2 linked regions of the Sus scrofa genome follow. The protein of the gene in region 1 purifies or fractionates together with the protein of each later gene. This does not show direct contact. Links are inferred from orthologs where the notes say so. Each region holds a gene or a part of one and is shown in the gene's direction. Other genes may lie near its edges.

Region 1 (11,206 bases):
CTAGGAGAGAGAGCAGGTACCAACCCCGGGCCAAGAAAGTCACACAGAAGAGTTCACCTGGTGAGAAGCAGTGTGACCTTTGTTTGATAGTGACCAAGCAAACTTGTAGTGAGAAAAGTAGGACAAAAACTACCCTGGCTTCATTCTCCTTCCTTCTCCTTGACCTCAGGCCAGGTTGCCCATTGGCCAAACTGGCCTGCAGCCAGAGGACAAGGGAGTGAGTTAAATAATCTTAGCGCTCAGGAGTTCCCTTCATGGCTCAGTGGTTAACGAACCCAACTAGGATCCATGAGGATGTGGGTTCAATCCTGGCCTCACACAGTGGGTAAAGGATTCTGTGTTGCTGTGAGCTGTGGTGTAAATCAAAGATGTGGCTTGGATCTGGCGTTGCTGTGGCTGTGGTGTAGGCTGGTGGTTACAGCTCCGATTGGACCCCTAGTGTGGGAACTTCTATATGCTGTGGGTTTGGCCCTAAAAATCAAAATAATAATAATAATAATAATAATAATCTTACAGCTCAGTCTGTTGACCTGTAAGGGTGGAGAAAGGTAGATAATACATCTAGAGAAATAAATGGATTATATCTACACCACCACATTCTAATGGAATTGTCTCTTTGCTCTTTAGTCTCCCTCACTGGACTAAGTTGCTTCAGGACAGAAAATGTTTTACTTATCTTTGCATCCTTAGTATCTATACTAGACAATAAATATATATCAGAGAATAAATGCTTATTGATTGATTCAGAGAATATGGTAAATTGGACACTACTTGGAGGATTGTACTTTCTAACCTTGCCATATGCTTCCTGGAAGCCAGGGGCAAATGGAGAAGAGAGTGAGCTCTGTAATTTTCATTGTCTAATTTAATCAGGAGTGATACATTCTCTTAGCACTCAGTGCTAAGAGGAATTTCAGTCATGTGACTGTCTACTTAAGAGGCATGCAACTGTATAATGGGCACTCTCTTCAATAGGGAAACCACAGGTACAGAAACATTCTTCATGAGGCCATTTAAAAATCATTAGCCCTTGGGAGTTCCCTGGTGGTTCAGTGGGTTAAGGACCTGGCATTGTTACTGCTATGGCTCAGATTGCTGCTGCAGTGCAGGTTTGATCCGTGGCCGGAAACTTCTGCATGCCATGGACGTAGGCAAAAACAAGCAAATAAACCAAACCAAACCAACAAACGAAAAACAAATGTCTTTAAAAGTATATATCTATTAGCCCTTGATAAAAGCCAAAGGCAAGTTATTAAAAAATAACCCATAGAGTCCCTGTTGTGGCTCTGCAGTAACGAATCCAACTAGTAGCCATGAGGTTTGATCCCTGCCCTTGTTCAGTGGGTTAAGGATCTGGTGTTGACGTGAGTTGTGGTATAGGTCATGAGCTATGGTGTAGGTCACAGACACAGCTTGGATCCTGTGTTGCTGTGGCTGTGACATGGGCCAGCAGCTGCAGCTCCGATTAATCTCTAGCCTGGAGACTTACACATGCCACGGATACAGCCCTAAAAAGACAAAACAAAAACAAAAACAAAACAAAACAAAACAAAAAACAACAAAAACCCAAAGGTAAACTGAGCTAGTGTGTTTCACTTTGATTTATCTTAGAACATCTTGCCCAAGAAATGGTTAAGCCTCAGACTTCAAACTTGACCCCCCGAAATAAATCTCCAATACAGTCCTCTATGGATTCTCTCTTCTCTCTTCAGAGAATGAAAAATATCAATGGAGAAACTCAATGCACCAAGGTAACCATGGGTCTATGAAAAGGCAGAAGCCTGGGTCCCTGAATGACTATGACTATTACAGAGCCCTTTTTCTGGTCCCTGCAAACATCTGTGCTGAGAGCAAGAAATAAACCATGAATGTGTCAAACTTCCGAGATCTGTGGCATTTTATAGCAACAGTTATTTTACCCTGATTAATGCAGATTTAAAATAATGTCCTAAATTCTCTACTTGAGTCTGTTTTAAATGTTATTACCACGATTATCATAAGCCATAGTCCATAACATCATCAAGTTCTTTTCATGGAAGTCCCTTACAGCTTGAATCTCATAATTTCAGGATTAATAGTTTAGTTATCCTCCATGGAAGAGATGTCTTTCAAAGTTCTTCTTGCTTGGAACATGACAGAAAATGTAATATCAACATTCTGGTGTCTCTTACAATGTACAAGGTCCTGTTTCATGCATTATCTCTATTGAATCTCCCAGCAACTCTGAGGAATACACCGGGTCTATTATCTTCCTCATTTGGCAGGTGGTGGAACTGAGACGAAGAAGGTGTAGTATAAAGTGGAAAAAAACAACTGATTTACAGAGTTGTTTGAAGATTAAGCAAGAGATAATTTCATCTGCCTGGCATGTGGTACACATTGAGTTAGGTTTTCTTATGAGTTATCTATTGCCTCTAATAAACCACCCCAAGATAGTGACTTAAAACAGTACCAATCATTTATGCTACTCACAGAACTTGGGCTGTGAAGACACGAATAGCTGGGGGTGGGGGTGGGGCTGGAACAGCTGGCTTCCTTGGGCTTCTCTCTGTGGTCTCTCCACATGGCAGCCCCAGGGTAACCATGGCAGCTGAAGGCTTCCAGAGTGAGTGGAGAGAGCAAGAGCAAGAGAGTGAGCAAGAGAGAGTTTTAAGCAGGCAGAAGCTCTAACACCTTATGGCCAAACCTTAGAAGGATGTTACACCGCATCACTTGTACAGTTTCTTAGAATCAAGCCACTCATGCCAACTCGTATTCATGGGGAGAATTAGACTCTGCATCTTCATTGAATGTCTGGGCACATTTCCCTCTCTAAAATGCTTGCCTAAATTAGGGCAGATGTGAAACTCAGAGGAAAGGGACCCAGCCAGGGTCATTCACAGCTAGGGTTGAATGGTTCCACCCATACTGGATCCAATTTTGTGACTCCCAAGCCCTGCCTGCACTTTTTTGCTACTGTAGAAGCTCTCCTGTGATCAGCATGTAGAAAAGACATGCTAGGGAGTTCCCGTCGTAGCTCAGTGGTTAACGAATCAACTAGGAACCATGAGGTTGTAGGTTTGATCCCTGGCCTTGCTCAGTGGGTTAAGGATCTCGCGTTGCTGTGGCTCTGGTGTAGGCCAGCGGCTACAGCTCCAATTAGACCCCTGGCCTGTGAACCTCCATATGCTGCGGGAGCAGCCCAAGAAATGGCAAAAAGACCAAAAAAAAAAAAAAAAAAAAAACATGCTAGTCCCCAAACGGAGCCAGTCCTTCTCATTGTCTTGGAAAACACACATTTATTTCACAGGAAAAATATTACCCTTAAAGCAGTCATCCATCAGCATTTTCGAATTTTCCAAGAATCTGTTTCCCTCCAACAGATGTATTCAGTTGCATTTCCCCCAGATGAATCATTTTTTTTTGTTATTATTTTTGACTGCATTTCTCACCTCTTCAGATCCTTTTGTATCAACTCTCAAACGAACCACTTATCAATTTCCCAATTTGGAATCTTGATTCCATCATCATGAACGCATGCCCTTCCTTTGGGCCATTGAATGAACTGTTCTTTAAAGAGGAAGGTCTGACATAAAGCATAAGAGCTGATGGGCATTCCCCGCCCCCTTCAAAAATTTTTGTTGACCTAAAGAGAGTGTAAACCATCTCATTTTAGAAAATCTGGAAATTTGAACCATGACATGGCTCTGAAATCTCAGAGGGTTTACAAAGTTTTAGTAATTCTCAGTTCTCTGAAGGAGCTTTTCAGTTTTAGTGATTCCCCAGCAGTTCCTATGGGAAATATCCTTTCTGTTCCCCCTACTCCAGGGCTTGGTGGAGGCATGGGGTAAGAAGTAGAGTGTATGGAAAGGGGAAAAAAAAAAAAAAAGATAAGAAGGAGTTCCCGTTGTGGCTCCGCAGTTAGCGAACTGGACTAGCATCCATGAGGACATGAGTTCAATCCCTGGCCTCGCTCAGTAGGTTAAGGATCTGGCATTGCCCTGAGCTGTGGTGTAGGTTGAAGGCATGGCTTGGATCCTGCATTGCTGTGGCTCTGGTGGCTATGGTTCTGATTGGACCCCTAGCCTGGGAACCTCCATATGCCATGGGTTCGGCCCTAAATAGACAAAAAAAAAAAAAAAAAAAAGAAGAAGCAGAGAGTATGGATAAGGGTCTCCAGTAGACATGGGGTCTCTGTGTAGAGCAGCACAGCCCACTGAAATAGAACTGCAAACCACACAGGTACTCATATTTTCTAGTATCTGTATTTTAAAAAGGAAAAGGTGAAATTAATTTTGATAATAGCTTTTGTTTAACCCAACACATCCCAAATATTATCATTTGAACATGCATTTAATATAAAAAATATTCAAGTCTTGGAATCCCATGTGTATTTCACCCTTCTTGGACTCTTCATTTGGGACTAACCACATGTCAAGTCATCTGTACTCAATACCATATTGGACAGCACGCATAGACCTTTCATTTCTGCTGCTTCCTTGGGCCTCTGAGACCTAAAACCTTTCTTCTCTGGTTTCATACCTTCTTTTTTATTTTTATTTTTTTCATTTTTTGGCCACCCTGTACATCTGAAGTTCCCAGGCCAGGAGTCAGATCCGAGCCATAGACGTGGCCTTAACTGCAGCCGCTGCAACACTGGATCCTTAACCCGCTGTACCGGCCTATGGGGGAATCGAACCTGCGTTCTTCCCAAGATGCCGCTGATCCAGTTGTGCCAAGGCGGGAACTCCTCATACCTTCTTATAGTTCAAATCCCAGCTCAAAAGCCCTGTCCAGGAGGGGAACGCCACCTAATGTGGCCCACTCCCGCTCTGTCATTCTCTATCTCATTATCCTTCAATTTTGTCTCCATAGAATGGATCTAAAGTGATCTCGTTTATTTGCTTACATATTTATTGTCTGGCTTCGCCACCATAATGCAAGTGTCATGAGGGCAGGGATTTTTTTAAACCTATTACGCTCCCTGCGATTTCCTGGTGCCGAGCACAGTGCCTGGCCCACCCTAGGCGCTCAGGACACATTTGCAGGACATTTCCCTGGAATCCCGCCAAAGGAGGCAGGTCTCGGCGTGTCACAGGTGGGGCGCCCACGGTGCGCGCGGCCGCGATGGCTGCGCTCCCCACGCGGGTGCGGGGTGAGTGGGTGTGTGCGGGGGTGTGCGCGGTAGAGCGCGCCAGCGAGCCCCGAGCGGGGAGGAGCAGCCAGCGCAGCACAGCACCCGCAGCAACGGCCGGGCCGGGCAGCTCGGAGGTGGGTGGGCCGTGTCGCCAGCCCGCCCGCGGGGTCCCCCATTGGCCGCCTGCCGGCCGCCCTCCGCCCGGAAGGCGGCGAGGAGCCGAGGGCTGCTCTGCAGCTGGAGCGGGAGAGCTCAGCCGAGCCGACGCCGGGCGGACGCGCGCGGGATCAGCGTCCTCACTTGCTGCCTCCCTGCGCTCCCGCCGCCGCCCCGCTCGCTCCCGGCGCTGGCGCCTACCGTTGGCCTCGGACAGCGCTCCGGAGGGACCCGGGCAGCTCCCGGGCGCCCGGGTGAGTGGCCGCGCGCGGCTCTCCGGCTCCTCCCGGGCCCCGCCGCCTGCTTTTGCTTTCGCGGCCGCGGCGCGGCGGGGTTTGCCCCGGCAGCCGCCTGGACCACCGGGAAGGCCGAGGCGGGGTAAACTTGACTGCGGGGAGAAGTGGGATCACAGTCGGGAGGGGCCCCCGGCCTCGTGGGGCGGGTGGAAACAGGTGGCGCGGGCCGGGCGCTTTGTGTCGAGGCGCGGGGACCGGGAGCGGGCGGCCGCGCCTCCCTCGGCCGCTCCCTTCCCTCCCTTGCTCCCCCGGGCGGCCGCAAGCCGGGTCGGCCGGGTAACGGAGCGGGAGTCGCCAGGAATGTGCCTCTGGGGACTGCGTGACTCGAGGGAGGAGAGAAGGTGGCCGGGGAGGTGCGGGAGCCGAGAGGTGGCGCGGGGGCTGCACCGCCGCTGCAGGCAGGAGAGGGATGCTTCCAGCGAGCAGTGTTCCGCCCGGGTGAGGGCTTCATTCTTCCGCGGCGCCCCTGGAGGTGGGGAGCTGGGTGGGCGTGTGTGTGCAGAGAAAGAGGAGGCGGGGAGGCCAGCCACTTCCGGAGCCGATTTTGATCCTAGCCCAGCGCCTTGCTTTCGGGGAAGCGGACCTTGGGGTGCGGTTGTGCTCGGCCCCACGCGTGCGCGGGCGATGCGGGGCTGGGGGCGTCCCTGGCTTGGGTTTAACAAAGAGTGCTCCTCTCCACCCGGAGGGGAGGGGCAGCTCCGGAGAGGTGGTCTTCAGCAAGTGGGTCTTAGCCCTGGGGAGAGGTACTTCCTTTGGGAGTTGTCATTTTGTTATTCTTATTACCTTTTTTTTTTTTTTTAAAGGACGGGACTCTCATGCATGAGGGGCCCACGGAGGCGCAGGAGCAGGAGCGGTGGTGATGGTTTGGGAAGCGGAGCTGAAGTGCGCTGGGCTTTGGTGAGGCGTGACAGTTTATCATGACGGTGTTCAGGCAGGAAAACGTGGACGATTACTACGACACCGGCGAGGAACTTGGCAGGTACTGGGGGTGCCGGAAGCGCACGCTTCTGGGTTGTGCGAATGCATGTTATTGCAAGCAGTGGGCGGTAAACAAATGCAGTTTGAAATCAGGCGTCTCCCTTGCCCTTCCAGGAGACACGCAAATTATAGAGAAAAGAGTTACTAACCCAGTGACGACCAGGGACCAGAAATAAACGACCTAATCCTGGGGGCTGGGGGGTGGAGGGGCGATTTCAGTGTTAGATTATGACACAGGGTGTATGGATCAAGACTCCTGGACAAGAGATTTAATTGTCTGCAGTAACTCTTGTCAGCCGTGGTCCTTCTGCCAGAATAAGGCAGAAGCTGAGATATAATTGCGGCTGGAGTTCGCTCTTATGTGTGATTTAGACGAAGTACAAACTGATTAATAGGCTTATTTTTAAAAGCTTAAGACTTGCCCTTTTTCTGAGTTTTCAAGAGTGATATGCACAAGTATAGGTAGGTCACACATGGAGACTTGTCAGATGTTGAATTGGATTTTGAAACTTCCTTGAACCATGAATTTAATTACGTGGTTGGTCTCAGTGGTTGCTCTGGTTTCATTCGCAACGTTAAATTTTTAACAAATCCCTGATTGAGAGTCTAATATGGCTATCTGGATTCAGAGCATACTTCCAGTGCTGTGGGAGGGAGCTGTGATTCTGAATGTGAAGCCTTTCAGTTCCAGGTGAACAAAGAAGGATTTCATTGGGGGCCTCCAAGGGCTGGATGGGTTTCCCTTTCACCAGGGATTTGACAGGGTAGGTAGTGCCCTGGTCTAACTTTAGCAGAAAAGCCAGATTCCACACCCAAATTTAAATTCAACATTGGGAATTTGACTGCAGCGTATTTATGTTGTGAGTCAAGTAGATAAAAGGATCTTTAAGCAAACAAAAAAGTATGTGTTTATTTCCATGTGTATCAAAATACATCTTTTTTCATAGACCCCTGATGTCCCCTGATTCAGTGCTTCCTTTTTTTCCCATGAAAAGGAAATTCAGAAACACCCACACCCTAGATTACCTAACAAGAATTGTGAAAGTTGATTTTCACTAAAATGATTTTTCAAGTGATAGTTCAGAAAGGAAGTGACTTTTTAAAAGTTGCTGTATCAGAATATTTCTGTCCACATTTAGTATGGACCTGAAGTCATTGGGGGCTCATGCCTAAGAGGAGCTAACTGTATGTTGGGGATTTACTGAGTGACTAAATGAAGGGAGCTCTCAAAAGTCATATTTTGGTTGTACAACTATAAATATAATAAAATTCATTGAATTATTTTTAAAAAGTCATGTTTCCTGGATATGTTTAAGGTTATGGTTTAAGGGCATGTGGTTGAAATACTTTGTTTACCTAGAATGAAGTCACTTTATTCCTGCGTGGTTTTCCTTTGGTAGCAAGGGAAAAAGGTGAAAAAAATATATTTTAATTCTGTTTGTGTAGTGTGGCCTGATTATATAAATTCTCTCCTAAAGAAGGATGATTCAAAGTAGGTGAGATGATTGCTTTATAGATTAAATATGTTGACCTTATTTTCGTGAAAATCTTTTGGTAGAATTATGTGTTATGAGAAGAGAAAAAAAATGAGGCCTCCCTGTGGCTAGTGAGGGAGTTTGTGATCTTTATTTCGTGGGTGTGATGACAGGCCCTCTGCCTCTTCGATGACAAGTGGTTGGCTCATTTGTCACTAGTATTTTGCTTTGATTTTGGCTTGTTCTACGTTTCTGTGTATAATTTTGCCCCGACTGTGCAAGACTAATTGACAGATTGTTTATTGAATACTTTATTGTAGGTGACCTGTGAGTTTGAAAGAAGTGCTCTGAAAAACTGGGAGGTGGAGATTTTTAAAAATAAAGAATGCATGCTGTCTGTTTGATCTTTTGTTTAGAAATGCAGTAATGGGTGGGGTTTTTTTTTTTCCTCCTCAAGTCGTATGCATTTTATGTCTGCTGGGAATTACCTCCTTCCTGAAAACAAATCCTGACATGAGATAGACATAATAGGAAAGATGCTGCTCTCTGTGTCACTGAGACAAGATGGGATGTGGAGGCAGGAGCTTAGTGGCAGAAAACAGAAATTGGCAGATATTTAACACAAAAGTGAGGTTGTTCTAAGCAGTGAGTTATAAACTATTCAACATCTGGGATGTAAGACTTTCCCTATCAGAGTTCCTGTTATGGCTCAGTGGCAAAGGAATCTGACTAGTATCCATGAGGATGCAGGTTCCATCCCTGGCCTTGCTCAGTGGGTTAAGGATCTGGCCTTGCTGTGAGCTGTGGTGTAGGTCGCAGACGTGGCTCGGATCCGTGTTGCTCTGGCTGTGGTGTAGGTGGCTATGGCTCCCATTGGACCCCTAGTCTGGGAATCTCCACATGCCATGAATGCAGCCCTAAAAAGACCAAAACAAAAAAGAAGACTTTCCCTACCTATCTTTGGCGGCAATCTAAATAACAGCTACTCGCTTACCTTGTAAATGTACTGAGTCAAAGTCCGTAGCTACAGGAGGGGAAGGTGGGTTTTTCAACAGGTAGGAAATAGCATTATGATTGCTACTGCTGTTACTTTACTTTTAGAAAAACAGAGAGTATGTATGTACGGGGGTGAGAGTGTGTGTGTGCCTGCCTGTCTGTCTGTCTATCTGTCTGTCTATGTATATTAGTGTGTGTCCTGCCCAGGACTACTGTCAAAAGCTTTCTGTCAATCCTAAAGAACTTAAAAAGTATTATGATTATTTGCAGTAGTGATAGAGCAGACAGGTATTCTGGTCCAAAATTGACTCTACAACTGGCTGGCTCTATAACCTGTAAGTGAAGAAGTCACCTACCTTCTCTGACCCGCTGGATCTTCATCTATAAAATGAGAGGCCTGGTGCTTAGTTCATGGCTCTTGTGAATGTCCAGTCATCTAAGCCATGTAAAAGTATTTTATCAGCAGTCAAGAGTTAAACAAATATTGATATAATCGGTAGGACTGGCCAGGACATGTGAGTATTCCAGGCATGATAATAACTTGGTTTGCAACTCAATATTCTTTTAAGTGTCTGTTTACCAATTTGGGGCAGGGAGGTCCTGCTGGCTAAGGGTCATGGGGGAGAACTGTGCTGACAGCCTTGGCCCTTCTGCTCTGATTCCGAATAATGCAGCTCTGGCCTTGAACTTGCACACCCTCCAGGTGGCAACAAGTCCCTGCAGTGAATGGTCCTGTCACCTATAGAAGATTGCTGGGTGACCTGTGTGTGAGTCCAGGAGGCCCTTTGGTTCTCACCCTCTGTTCTAGGAGGTAGACTAAAGAACTAATGCTGTCACATGTCATGGTTTTGGGGAGGAGTTCTTATACCTTTGGATTTCTCCATGTGCTATTACACTGGGTCATTTTGATGTCCCAGGTGCCCTAGCATCTCTTATCAGTTGGCACTTGGGGCTGCTGAAGACTGGCTCATCCCGCCATTGGGCTCCAGTTACACTCTGGGCTGTGGTTGAGCCCAACTTGTGAGCTTTCTGGGCACTTTCTGAGCGCTGCTTTCCTCAAGGACTGGCCTGTCTTCCTCTTCTACTGTCTGACCTTATGTGATCTTAAGATCTGGCTCCCATCTCCTGAGTAACTCTTTCCACAACGATTTGTCCCTCTCAGAAACCAGACAAAGCTGGTTGCTGTCTAAAGCTCCACTGGTCATGGCCGCAGACTGCCCCCTCCATGCTCCATCGTTGCTTTGTGTTATTAACATTCTCGTATTGCTCCATTCAGCTGGCTTGAAACGTTCCTTCAGGGTGTGTGCTGTATAATTCTGGGCAAAAGTTTGATCGATGCCTGAATAAGCTCCTGCAGGCCGGCAGGCAGGTACTAGACTGAGACCAGAATGGGGATTTGAGATGCAAATGATGCTGTTGTGGATGCTGACATTGATGGAGAGGCGGGGTGCGGTGTGGGACAACCTGGCACACTCATTTGGGAAGTGGGGAGACACCTGCGTTTGCAGGGTGTCATGAGAATTAGAGGCAGGGGCTGTAAACATCTGACACAGAGTCGCTGCCTCCGATATTATTTTTAATAACCTCTTTTCCCTGTTACAGCATTTGCCACAATGCAGACTCATTACTTACCTGATTATTTGCTTTCCCTACAGCTTGTCACAGGGTTGGGACCTTGGACTTGCTTGTCATTTTTTATCTCTTATGCCTAATTGGGTACGTGACACTAGGTGCTCCAGAAATGCTTGCTGCTTGAATGAATGGATTAATATTTGTAAAGCACATGAATACACAGATGTGCACATATATAATATATATATATACGGAGTTCCCATCGTGGCGCAGTGGTTAACGAATCCGACTAGGAACCATGAGGTTGCGGGTTCGGTCCCTGCCCTTGCTCAGTGGGTTAAGGATCCGGCGTTGCCGTGAGCTGTGGTGTAGGTTGCAGACGCGGCTCGGATCCCGCGTTGCTGTGCCTCTGGTGTAGGCCAGCGGCTACAGCTCCGATTCGACCCCTAGCCTGGGAACCTGCATATGCCGCGGGAGCAGCCCAAAGAAATAGCAAAAAGACAAAAAAAAAAATATATATATATATATATATAAAATATATATATATATGTATATATATACATACATGTATATGGCCCTCAATAGGGATGACTGGCAGGGAAGAACTTAGGATACTA
Region 2 (11,282 bases), on another chromosome or scaffold:
GACAGAGAGGAGTTGCCATCGTTTCTCAGCGGTCAGCAAACCTGACTAGCATCCATGAAGATGCAGCTTGGTCTCCCTCAGTGGGTTAAGGACCCAGCGTCGCCGTGAGCTGTGGTGTAGGTGGCAGACGTAGCTCGGATCCTGCGTTGCTGTGGCTCTGGTGTAGGCCAGTGGCTACAGCTCCGATTGGACCCCTAGCCTGCGAACCTCCATATGCCGCAGGTGCGGTTCTAAAAAGACCAAAAAAAAGTGCAGACGCACAGAGAGGCCTGGGCTCCAGGCTCTGCCCCATGCTCTGGCCTACTTGGAGGACCCCAGACCCTGGCCCAGCTCCTCACTCCGACCCCCTACCACATTTGAGTTTGAGTTCTGACACTCAGCCACGAGCCCTGCCCTCCAGAAAGTCACCTCCCCACTAATGGGCAATGTCTTCCTTGCCAGCAGGATCAAGAATCACAACCCCTCCTGTGCCACCCAGAGGAGTCTCCCGTGTCCTTGATGCCCTCAATGCCAGCTCCTCCCTGCTGACCTTCCACTGACCCCTCTCCACACCAGCCCAGATGCTCAGGCTGCCATGTCTCAGAAGACACTAAGCTGGGTCCTCAGGGTGCCTTTGACCTGGACTCATGTTCACCACCATTCCCCCTTCCCCAATGTCCCTGTCCCTCAGCCTTCTCCCACACCCAGGGCTGGGAGCCTTCTGTCCTGCCCCCTCCTCCACCCGACATGCCTGAGGCAGCCCTGGGGGGATGGAGGGATGAGGCTGCCTCTGCCTCATCTCTTGTGATTCGCTCTCACAAGGACAGGAGCTGCTTCCCTTGGCCTCAGAGCTCTGAACTCTCCCAAGCACTGACCCCACTGAGTGGCCAGTCAGGAGGCACCATAAATAACTCCAACCTGGACTCTGCCCACCCCGCCCCTTCACCCACCATGTGGGTGAACATGCAGTACAAAGCTTACCTTCTTAGTCCTGTAGCCCAGCCTGGGGACCAAAGAGAACAGTCAGCCCACACAGCCTTAAGCTGGTACCCGCACTCAACCGTGTTTCCTCCCTTCTCTGCTCCTCAGTTTCCTCTTAACCAGAGTTCCTGTTATGTCTCAGTGGGTTAAGAATACAACCTAGTGGATTTCCTGCTGCGGCGCAGCAGAAGTGAATCCAACTAGTATCCATGAGAATGCAGGCTCGATCCCTGATCTCGCTCAGTGGGTTAAAGATCTGGCATTGCCAGGAGCTGTGGTGTAGGTCGCAGATGTGGCTCAGAACCCACATGGCTCTGGCTGTGGCGTAGGCTGGCAGCTGTAGCTCTGATTCAACCCCTTAGCATGGGAACTTCCATATGCTGAGGGTGCAGCCCTAAAAAAGCAAAAAAAAAGGTCCACAACATAGTGTCCTTGAGGATGCAGGTTTGATCCCTGTCCTTGCTCAGTGGGTTAAGGATCTGGCATTGCCGCAGTTGCAGCATAGGTCTCAGATCCAGTATTGCCGTGGCTGTGGTGCAGGCCGGCAGCTGCAGCTCCGATTTGATCCTTAGCCTGGAAATTTCCGTATGCCACAGGTGCGGCTGTAAAAAATAAATAAATAAATAACAATGTTTAAAAAAAATTTTTCCTCTTACCAAGTTGGGTCAATAGTTGCTTACCCCCACCTCCAATGGCTATCTCTGAGGGTTCCATGATCAAATGTGTGAGGTTTATGAATTCCTGCTATAGGGCTGGGGCTTAATAACCACTGGGAAAATCGTAGCAATTCTGTTTATTGTTATTTTTTCTGTCCTGCCCAGTACAGCATGGAGCGCCCACTAGTTGCCCCAAGCGGGGTTACTTAGTCTTGCAGAAGCTTCTACAAAGGAAATGGGTTTTGTGAATGGCTCCAAAAGGTCAGATGGGGGATTGTCCAGCTATTGGGGACTTCAGGGGAACCCCAGCTTCCATGAATGTGGCCATGCAGGCTGGGGTTTCCCCAGAACTGGAAGGGACCAGGCTAGGGAGGCTGGGGGACTGGGCTGTTTTCTGGGCCAGGGATGGGTGTTTCCTCCCGTGCAATCCAGACCCTTGTCCCGTCAAGGCCCTACAAAGTCTGAATGTCTCAGTTACTTCCCTGACACTCCCAGCCTTCTCGCCTTTATCTGGACTGTTTTTTTTTTGTTTGTTTTTTTTTTAATCTTTTTGTCTTTTTGCCATTTCTGGGGCTGCACCCACGGCATATGGAAGTTCCCAGGCTAGGGGTCTAATCGGAGCTGTAGCTGCCGGCCTGCGCCAGAGCCACAGCAACACCAGATCCAAGCCAGGTCTGCGACCTACACCACAGCTCATGGCAACGCTGGATCCTTAACCCACTGAGCAAGGCCAGGGATCGAATCCGCAACCTCATGGTTCCTAGTTGGATTTGTTAACCACTGAGCCACGATGGGAACTCCTATCTGGGCCATTCTTTCCTCCCTCCCACACTGCTGTCCTGTCCACACCTTCCCAGGCTTACAAACCCAGATGTGCCACCTCTACCCGCAGCCTGGGGCAACTCTCCCTCTGGTAGCTTTATTTCCCAAACCTCACTTCTCCCATTTTACAGAAGGGGAAGTTGAGGCTCCACCACTTGAGGTGCCCAGCACAGTCCCAGGGCAAACCTGGCTCTGGCTGATTCCTGCCATCCTGGGTCTTCCACGGGCTGATCCCTCACCCCCACCCCATGTACACACTATAGGCTTTCAGTTATGACTGCTCCGACTCGGCTTCTCCTCCAGCAAGGGAGCTGGCTGAAAGGAGGGATGGCCTGCTCTCCCCAAGCCCTGGAGGATAGAAAGAAGAAATGCCAGATTTTTTTCTCTCCCACCCCCAAGCCAGGAGTGGGGGACCAAGAGAAGGGAGGTGCCCCTCCCTGCTCTGGCTTCTGCTTTCTGGCCCAGCTGTGGCCAAGCCTGAGTCAGCCTCACGGGACCACGCTGTTGGATCTGGAGCTTCAGGGCTGGGGAGCCTGAGAGGGGGAGGGGGAGAAAGTTGGGAAGAAGGGTCCTGGGCCAGGCTAGAGGGAGGGAACGGGGATGCGGCAGCCCCTGCCCACTCTCAGGCAGAGGATCGGCCACCCCCACCCACATCAGAGCACAGGGTGGGAAGGCAGGGTCTCTGGGCTAGGGAGGCGGGGCGGGGCTAGGTCAACCTGGCCGCCCCCAAGAGGGATCCCTGGGCCCAGAGTGGCCCTCCTAACTCTCGGTCTTGCTGTGTCTCTGTCTCTAAGCCCCCACCTCACCTCTGCTCAAGATGCTCAAGCCTCACACGGCTGGTCGGGGCTGATTGCGGGAAAGGGACGGGGGAGATCGAAGAGCAGCTCATGGTCCATGCGACTGGGGGCCCAGCACCTGGTGGGGGTGGGGGTAGGGTGGAGCTCAGGTGGAAAAGGTACACCCAGAGAGGGAGAGAGAGGAGAGAAGAAAGAGAGAAAGAGAAAGAAGGAAAGAGAGAGAGAAGTCGAGATGCTTAGAGACGCCGCCCGGGCCCCCGAGGGGCGTGGGCACCAGGGGGCGGGTTCGGCAGGGGGGCTGGGCCACCGCCGGCTTAAAGGCGGCTCTTTCCCGGGGCAGCTGCTTCTGCCGTCGTACGTTGGCCCCTCCGTCGTGATGGCCTCGTCGCCTCTCCTGCCGTTCCTGCCTCTGCTGCTGCTGCTGCTGCTGGAGGTCCCCGCGGCAGCGCCGGCGTCCCCGCTGCAGTCACTCCTCCAGGGGGCGGCCCCCTGCAAGGTAGGGACGGCTACTCGGCGGGAGGGACAGCGGGGACTGGCGCCCCAGTAGGGGGCCGGCGGCTCCTCCCCTCTCCCCAGACTTCGGCGGAGTCGACCGGGCTCGGGAAGGTGCTTCTCGGATCGGTACTGACCCCCTCAAAAAACACCCCGCCTCGCTGGTCACACTTTCCTTTCTCTTTCGCTTCCTTCTGAAATCTGAGTCGCTCAGCTATCCCCCACCCATCCCCCCGCAATTCCCCCACCCACCCCCCGCAATTCCCCCACCCCATCCCAGGGTGCATTGAGCACCTACTGTGTACCTCTGGAGCGGGAATCAGAATCTCTCTTTCAGCCCAGGGGAAGCCCGGATTACCTAAGCGCCCACCCGCATTCGTCAGGGGCTCCCGGGAGGAGCTCGCGTGTTTCTGGTGCGGAGGAAGCAGATGCCCCGGAGTCTGAGCGACTTGCTCACAGACGCGGGCGACCGCCACCCCTCAGCTGTAGCCGGAAGTCAGCACCTATTAGGCGCCGCCTCTGCAGTAGCCTTGGGAGGGGTTCAGTGAGCCCGCTGAGAGGAAGAATTTAAAAAGGAGTCAGCGCGGGTATAGACGCTCGCTCAGCTCCCGGCCAGGGCTCTGGGGATGAAGTGACAAATGAGCATGCTTTCGCGGTACGCACCGCTCAGAAGGCAGGATTGACGGCAGGGATCAGAAGTGAGCATGCCTTGAATTCTTACTGCTTGCAGTCCCCCCGCGTGGGGAGTTTCACCTAACCTGGAGGAAAGCAAGACTTGTGCATACATGAACTGCCTACTGTTTTCGAATCTTTTTCACATCCATTTTGCAGACAGACTGAGATTTAGGAAGATTTAGGGATGCTGTGAAGCCTTTAAGTCAGGATTCCATCTGGCAAGGTCTGGAAGGAGTGTATCACTTCCTGTTTGCAGCTCTTTTTCTGCAAGAGAACCAAGCAGGACTTCGTTTGATTTCACACCCCTTTCTCCCACGCAGGCCGGTGAGCCATGCCTGCAGAGACCCGTGGGGAAGTCTGACCCTCCACCTGTCAACGTGAACCTCTACTATGAGTCGCTGTGCAATGGCTGCCGGTACTTCCTAGTCCGAGAGCTCTTCCCCACGTGGCTGATGGTCTGGGAAATCCTCAATGTCACACTGGTACCCTATGGAAACGCCCAGGTGTGTGGGCACCAGGGAAACTGGGGGCACTCGGCCAGGGGAAGGGAATGCGGCTGGTGGGGGGCAGCCAGCATTTACCCCATTGCCTTTCAGGAACGAAATGTCAGCGGCAGGTGGGAATTTACGTGCCAGCACGGCGAGCAGGAGTGCAAGATGAACAAGGTGGAGGTGAGCAGCCCCAGAGTTCCCGAGTGGGGGGCATAGAGGCTGAGGAGTCTACTGGTGATAAGGAAGGTGAAATCAAGACTCAGAAGGGATTGCCTTATGTCCTAAGGATACCCTCTTTGATATCACTAAGAAGATAACCTCAATCAATATTGCCTATGCCTGTTCCTGCCCACTAATCTTGCCACCTTCCTTAATCCCACTAATAATAATCTCATCACCTTCCTTAATAAAAGTCATGTGGGCTAAAGCCTAGGTGCCTTTGTTCTACGGAACAGAGGAACAGAGTACCTCCTGGTCCCCCACTTTCTAAATGTAAAAAAAAAAAAAAAAAGAAAAAGAAGGGATTGCCACAAGCGCCATTCTTTTTCCTGTGTGCCTCCATTTAATCACTTCTTCATTCTCTATGTTGGTTTTGTCTGTTCATTTGTTTGTTGATTGGTCTTTTTAGGGCCGCACTCTTAGTAGCATATGGAAGTTCCCAGGCTAGGGGTCGAATCGGAGCTACAGCTGCCAGCCTACACCACAGCCACAGCAACGCCAGATCTGAGCCTCATCTGTGGGCTACACTGAAGCTCATGGCAATGCCGGATCCTTAGCCTACTGAGCGAGGCCAGGGATCCGACCATGTCCTCATGGACACTAGTCGGGCTTGTTAGCGCTGAGCCACAAGGGGAATTTCCCTGTCTCCACTTTATTTATGGACACCCATGATTAATCCCAGAGTGGTCTTGGGGTACTCAGGTCCCCCCCTCATGTCCTCCCCCTCCCATCCCCACTCCCAGGCCTGCCTTTTGGACAAGCTGGAGAAGAACATGGCCTTTCTGACCATTGTCTGCATAGAGGAACTGGATGACATGGAGAAAAATCTGGAACCAGTGAGCAATGCCCCTCCTTCCACCTGAGTTGGGGGACCCTGGCCTCCCTACATCCAGACAAACCCAGGTTCAAGTCCTGGCCCCCAACTGCCGCTCTCTGAGTAGCCCCAGGAAAACTGCCTCCCCTCTCAAAGTCTCAATCTCTGAATCAAGAGAACAAAGATCTTCCGGGGACGTGGGTAGGTCCGAGAGGGCTTCCTGGACCAGGTGCCTCTGAGCTGGGCTTGAATGAATAGGAATGTGGAGGGACCCAGATGATGATCCTTCTCTAGGGTATGGGGCCCCCCTACCTCCCTGGAGGATTATGAAAAAGAACTCCCAAAGGAGTGACTCATCTGCCCCGATTGCTTATTCATTCATCAAACATCTGGGCTGCCCAAGAGACCTGAGCCACCCTGAGACACCTCCAGCTCTACAGAGTCATAGTGTGGCTGGAGGAGTGCAAAGGAGGAAGGAACACTCAGGAGACTCAGGGGAAGGAGGAGGAAAAGTGTTCCTGACAGAGGGAACAACATGTATGGATGCTCTGAGGAAACCGAAACACTCTAGGGGTCTGGTCTGGTCTTATTGGAAACAGGAGCAGCCTGAGCCCCTGCTCTCAGGCATGTATTAAGCACCTGATGTTTATGGGCTTTGCTGTACCCCTGTGAGTCCAACTGTCCCCTGTGAGGAAACAGAAACGGCTTGGAGGGGCAGGCAGTGCTGGTTGGGAGTTCCTGTTGGGGAGATAAGAGGGAGGAACCTGAGGCAACGCTCCAACTGACCAGCTCCCCCTCTGCCCTCAGTGCCTGCAGATCTATGCTCCAAAAGTATCCCCAGACTCTATCATGGAGTGTGCAATGGGGGACCGTGGCATGCAGCTCTTACACATTAATGCCCAACTCACAGATGCTCTGAAGCCACCCCATGAATATGTGCCCTGGGTCGTCGTCAATGGGGTAAGAACTATTGCAGCCCTCAGGTCAGCCTCCAGGCAGGGACCTGGGTGATGGATGTGCCCAATGGTCTGGGAGCAGCCGTCCGGGGCCACACTTGGGACAATTTGCAGCCCCTTCTGGGCTGAGCATGGGTTGATTGGGGTGGGTGGGACTTGTGACCTCCTGTCATGCTTGTGCAGAAACCTATGACAGAGAAGGACCAGCTCTTACGCCTCGTCTGCCAGTTGTACGAGGTAAGCCGGACAGGGAACAGAGGGATCCAGCTGGTGGGGATAAGGTCTCCTTTCAGGACCCCAACTCATGGCTATCTTCTCCAGGGTGAGAAGCCGGATGTCTGCCAAATCTTGGCCAGCTCCCACAAGGAAGTCTGCTTCAAGTGACAGCTGGTGCCCTGAGAGAGAGCTAATACAGGAAGAGCAAGATCCCACCTGCCCTCATTTTCTGATCCCTGACTCTCAGCAGCCACTACTCATCATGCAGATGATGTCTACACATTCCACAAAGCCCAGACTCAAAATTCTGCCCCAAGGTCAAGAATCTTGCCCACTGAGAATGGTGCTACATTGAAACTTGTTTAATAAACACTTTGAGATGTTGTGATTCATTTGATAAGACGGAAAACCCCCTTCTTCCAGATCTGTGCAATCCTGGGGCCCCTGTGAAGCCACCTGTCCAGGGGATGCAGAGCCAGCCAGATATCCCTAGCCCCATTGGGGGGGGGGAATGGGCCAGAGGGGGAGGCACCAGAGCTAGAGGAGCCCAGAAGAGAGAAGGTTCTTCATAGGTATGGGGGCTGAGGTTTTGAAGGGTGACTAGAAGTTCATCCAGCAGAAAATGTATTTATCAATTCAACAAACATCCCTATCTCCCCCCTTTTTGCTGACCCCACACTGGGTACTATGGGTTGAGCCAGAGGATGTTAACTAGGGCCAGGCAAGGCCAGAGGATGGGGCACAGACCTTGTCTGGGGAGTTTGAAAGAATGGTGTTCCAGGAAAGGGGAAAAGTATGCAAAGGCCCAGACAGCAGCAAAGTCGGGAGCTAGAATGCCAGGCTGAGGCACCTGAGAACAACTGGGTGTGTGATAGGATAATTGTGAAAAAAAGGAAAAACCATGATTCTCACACTGATGACAAAAGAATACACAACAAATATTTTATTTAATCATGTTTAATGAACCTGGGCAGATGTTCAAAAGACAGAGATTTAGAGATTAGAAATATTGAAATAATTGTGCAAAACTGACTTGTTCACAGGGGCAGGGGACAGGCACATTCTTCTTTCCACCTAGCTTTATTGCGTTTTTCTAACTTTAATACAATTGACCCTTGAACAACATGGGTATGAACTACATAGATCTACTTCCATGTGGTTTTTTTTTTTTCTGCTAAATACATACTACAGTCTTACATGATCCCAGGTGGCTCAGCGGTTAACAAATCCAACGAGGAACAATGAGGTTCCAGGTTCGATCCCTGGCCTTGCTCAGTGGGTTAAGGATCCTGTGTTGCCATGAGCTGTGTTGTAGGTTACAGATGTGGCTCAGATCCTATGTTGCTATGGCTGTGGTGTAGGCCTGTGGCTACAGCTCCAGTTCAACCCCTAGCCTGGGAACCTCCATATGCAGTGGGTGCGGCCCTAGAGAAGACAAAAAAAAAAAAAAAAAAAAAAAAAGGCTATTTTCTTGGCAAATTCCAATTATACCAAAAAGTACTGTTTGTTGGTGTGTTTGTTTTTGTTTGTTTCGTTTTTGCTTTTAGGGCCGCGTCTGTGGCATATGGAAGTTCCCAGGTTAGGGGTTGAATTGGAGCTACAGCTGCCTGTCTACTCCAGAGCCACAGCAACATAGGATCTGAGTCATGTCTGCAACATACGCTGCAGCTCACAGCAGCACCAGATCCTTAACCCACCAAGCGTGGCCAAGGATCGAACCCTCATCCTCATGGATACTAGTCAGGTTCTTAACCCACTGAGTCACAATGGGAACTCCTACCAGACAGTACTGTTAACATTAGTCACCATGCTGTACATTAGATCCTCAGGACTTACTCATCTTACAGTGAAAGTCTGTGCCCTTTGACCAACATGTCCCCATCTCCCCCACTCCTCAGCCCCTAACAACAAAGTTCTTCTGTTTCTATGAGTTTGGCTATTTTATTTATTTTATTTATTTTGATGGCTGCACCCACAGCATATGAAAGTTCCTGGGCTAGGGGTCAAATTGGAGCTGCAGCTGCAGTCTACACCACAGCCACAGCCACACCCGATCTGAGCTGCATCTGTGAACTATGCTGCAGCTTAAGGCAACAATGGATCCTTAACCCACGGAGCGAGGCCAGGGATTGAACCAGCATCCTCACAGAGACAATGTCAGGTCCTTAACCCACTGAGCCACATGGGACTCTGAGCCGACTATTGCATTTTTGTTTTTTGCTTTTTAGGGCCACACACTTGGCATATGGAAATTCCCAGGCTAGGGGTCAAATAGGAGCTACAGCTGCCAGCCTATACCACAGCCACAGCCACGCCCGATCTGAGCCTCAACTTCGGCCTACACTGCAGCTCACAGCAATGCTGGATTCTTAACCCACTGAGCAAGGCCAGGGATCAAACCTGTGTCCTCATGGATACTAGTCGGGTTCATTACCACTGAGCCACAACAGGAAATTCCAGAGTTTGGCTATTTTAGAATCCACATATAAGAGAAACCATACTATATTTGCTAATTTCACTTTGTATAACACCCTCCAGGTTCATCTCTGTTGCCACAAATAGCAGGATTTTCTTCTCTTTTTTTCATGGCTGAATAGAAGTTGGGTTGTCCCTTTTGTTAAAATTAATCTCTAAGCAAGACCTTCACTGGCTGGTCCCATTAGACTTGCCCTGATTATTTACGCAGGTGCAGCAGGTGCCTCTTTGCTTTACGGGAAGCTTCCATAAGGAATCTCAGAGTGGACTTCTCAAAGTCTCTATCATTTACTAACTGGAGACGAGAACTCAAGTTTCACCTGCAGTACCCATGATACCCATGACCTTTTTTTTTTTTTTTTTTTTTTTGGCCATGCCCTCGGCATGCAGAAGTTCCCAGGCCAGGGATCAAACCCGAGCCACAGCAGTGACAACACCACTTCCTTCACCTGCTGAGCTCCAAGGCAACTCCCCAATTTCTCTCTTATCTGAAGTTCCCCTGCTATGGCAAGGATCTGGATTGACCTCTAAGGCAAGCCAGATTTCCCATAAGGCTTTTGTAAACACTAGCTCCCAATAGTCTGACTTGGTTTCTTTTTTCTTTTTCTTTCTTTCTTTCTTATTTTTTATTTTTTATTTTATTTTTTGTTTTTTAGGGCGGCACCTACAGCATATGAAAGTTCCCAGGCTAAAGGTTGAATCGGAGCTGTAGCTGCCGGCCTATGCCAGAGTCACAGTAATGCCAGATCCAAGCTGTATCTGCAACCTACACCACAGCTCATGGCAACACCAGGTCCTTAACCCACTGAGCAGGGCCAGGGATCGAACCCGCATCCTCATGGATCTTAGCTGGGTTCATTAACCCCTGAGCCGCGAAGGGAGCTCCCGTGACTTACTTTCTTGAAACTGGCTGGTGAGGAGTTCCCGCTGTGGTGCACTGGGATTGGCAGTGTCTTGGGACCTCTGGATGCAGGTTCAATCCCTGGCCCGGTACAGTGGGTTAAGGACCCGGCATTGCCACAGCTGCAGCTTAGGCCACGACTGTGGCTCAGAACTGATCCCTGGCCCAGGAACTCCATATGCCATGGGGTTGCCAAAAATGGGGGAATAAAAATGGAAATTTGGAGTTTCCATTGTGGCTCAGCAGTAGCGATTCCAACTAGTATCCATGAGGATGAGGGTTCAATCCCTGGTCCTGCTCAGTGGGTTAAGGATCTCGTGTTGCTATGAGCTCTGGGGTAGGTTGCACATGAGGCTCAGATCTGGCATTGCTGTGGCTGTGGTGTAGGCCGGCAGCTGCAGCTGATTCGACCCCTAGCCTGGAAACTACTATAGGCCAACTGTGCAGCCCTAAAAAAACAAGCAACAAAAAAACAAACGAAAGGTAGAGAAAGTGAAAAATGGTAATTTGCCAATAAAGAAGAGACACCTGGAAGACATCCCCTTAACACTGTGATCTGAGTTCGTGTCACCAGGGTAAGTCATGTGGTATCACACACCCAAGTGACACAAGGAGGACATCACCTTTGTGGGATTCTCCCCAAGATCCAGAACCCCAGTCTAATCACGAGAACAGCACCAGAGCCCAGAGAGAGGGACATCCTACAATGCACAACTGATCCTCTTAATAGCATCAAGGTCATGAAAAATAAGAGAAAACTAGAAGGCTTCACAGACCAGAGGAGCCTAAGGAGAGGGGCTGACTAGTG

What was found.
Region 2: the proteins of DAPK1 (region 1) and IFI30 purify together in Homo sapiens (affinity purification with mass spectrometry; 3 studies listed by BioGRID and IntAct, counting the BioPlex papers as one, with this or other methods). This does not show direct contact. The link is inferred for Sus scrofa from reciprocal best matches to the Homo sapiens genes DAPK1 and IFI30.

Annotation. Positions count from the first base shown.
Region 1 is NC_010452.4:27,948,472-27,959,677, reverse strand, and holds the start of DAPK1 (death-associated protein kinase 1), read left to right. Parts: upstream 1-4,980; 5' UTR 4,981-5,077; intron 5,078-5,099; exon of another isoform or gene 5,100-5,473; coding exon of another isoform or gene 5,474-6,019; exon of another isoform or gene 6,020-6,040; intron 6,041-6,041; exon of another isoform or gene 6,042-6,288; intron 6,289-6,371; 5' UTR 6,372-6,485; coding exon 6,486-6,547; intron 6,548-11,124; exon of another isoform or gene 11,125-11,206. Other genes in the region: basic proline-rich protein-like, read right to left, coding at 2,469-2,597, 5,474-6,019. UniProt on the Homo sapiens protein: Calcium/calmodulin-dependent serine/threonine kinase involved in multiple cellular signaling pathways that trigger cell survival, apoptosis, and autophagy.
Region 2 is NC_010444.4:59,625,978-59,637,259, reverse strand, and holds IFI30 (gamma-interferon-inducible-lysosomal thiol reductase precursor), read left to right. Parts: upstream 1-3,545; 5' UTR 3,546-3,611; coding exon 3,612-3,731; intron 3,732-4,085; exon of another isoform or gene 4,086-4,485; intron 4,486-4,722; coding exon 4,723-4,905; intron 4,906-4,998; coding exon 4,999-5,073; intron 5,074-5,855; coding exon 5,856-5,948; intron 5,949-6,733; coding exon 6,734-6,886; intron 6,887-7,065; coding exon 7,066-7,119; intron 7,120-7,203; coding exon 7,204-7,266; 3' UTR 7,267-7,498; downstream 7,499-11,282. UniProt on the Homo sapiens protein: Lysosomal thiol reductase that can reduce protein disulfide bonds. May facilitate the complete unfolding of proteins destined for lysosomal degradation. Plays an important role in antigen processing.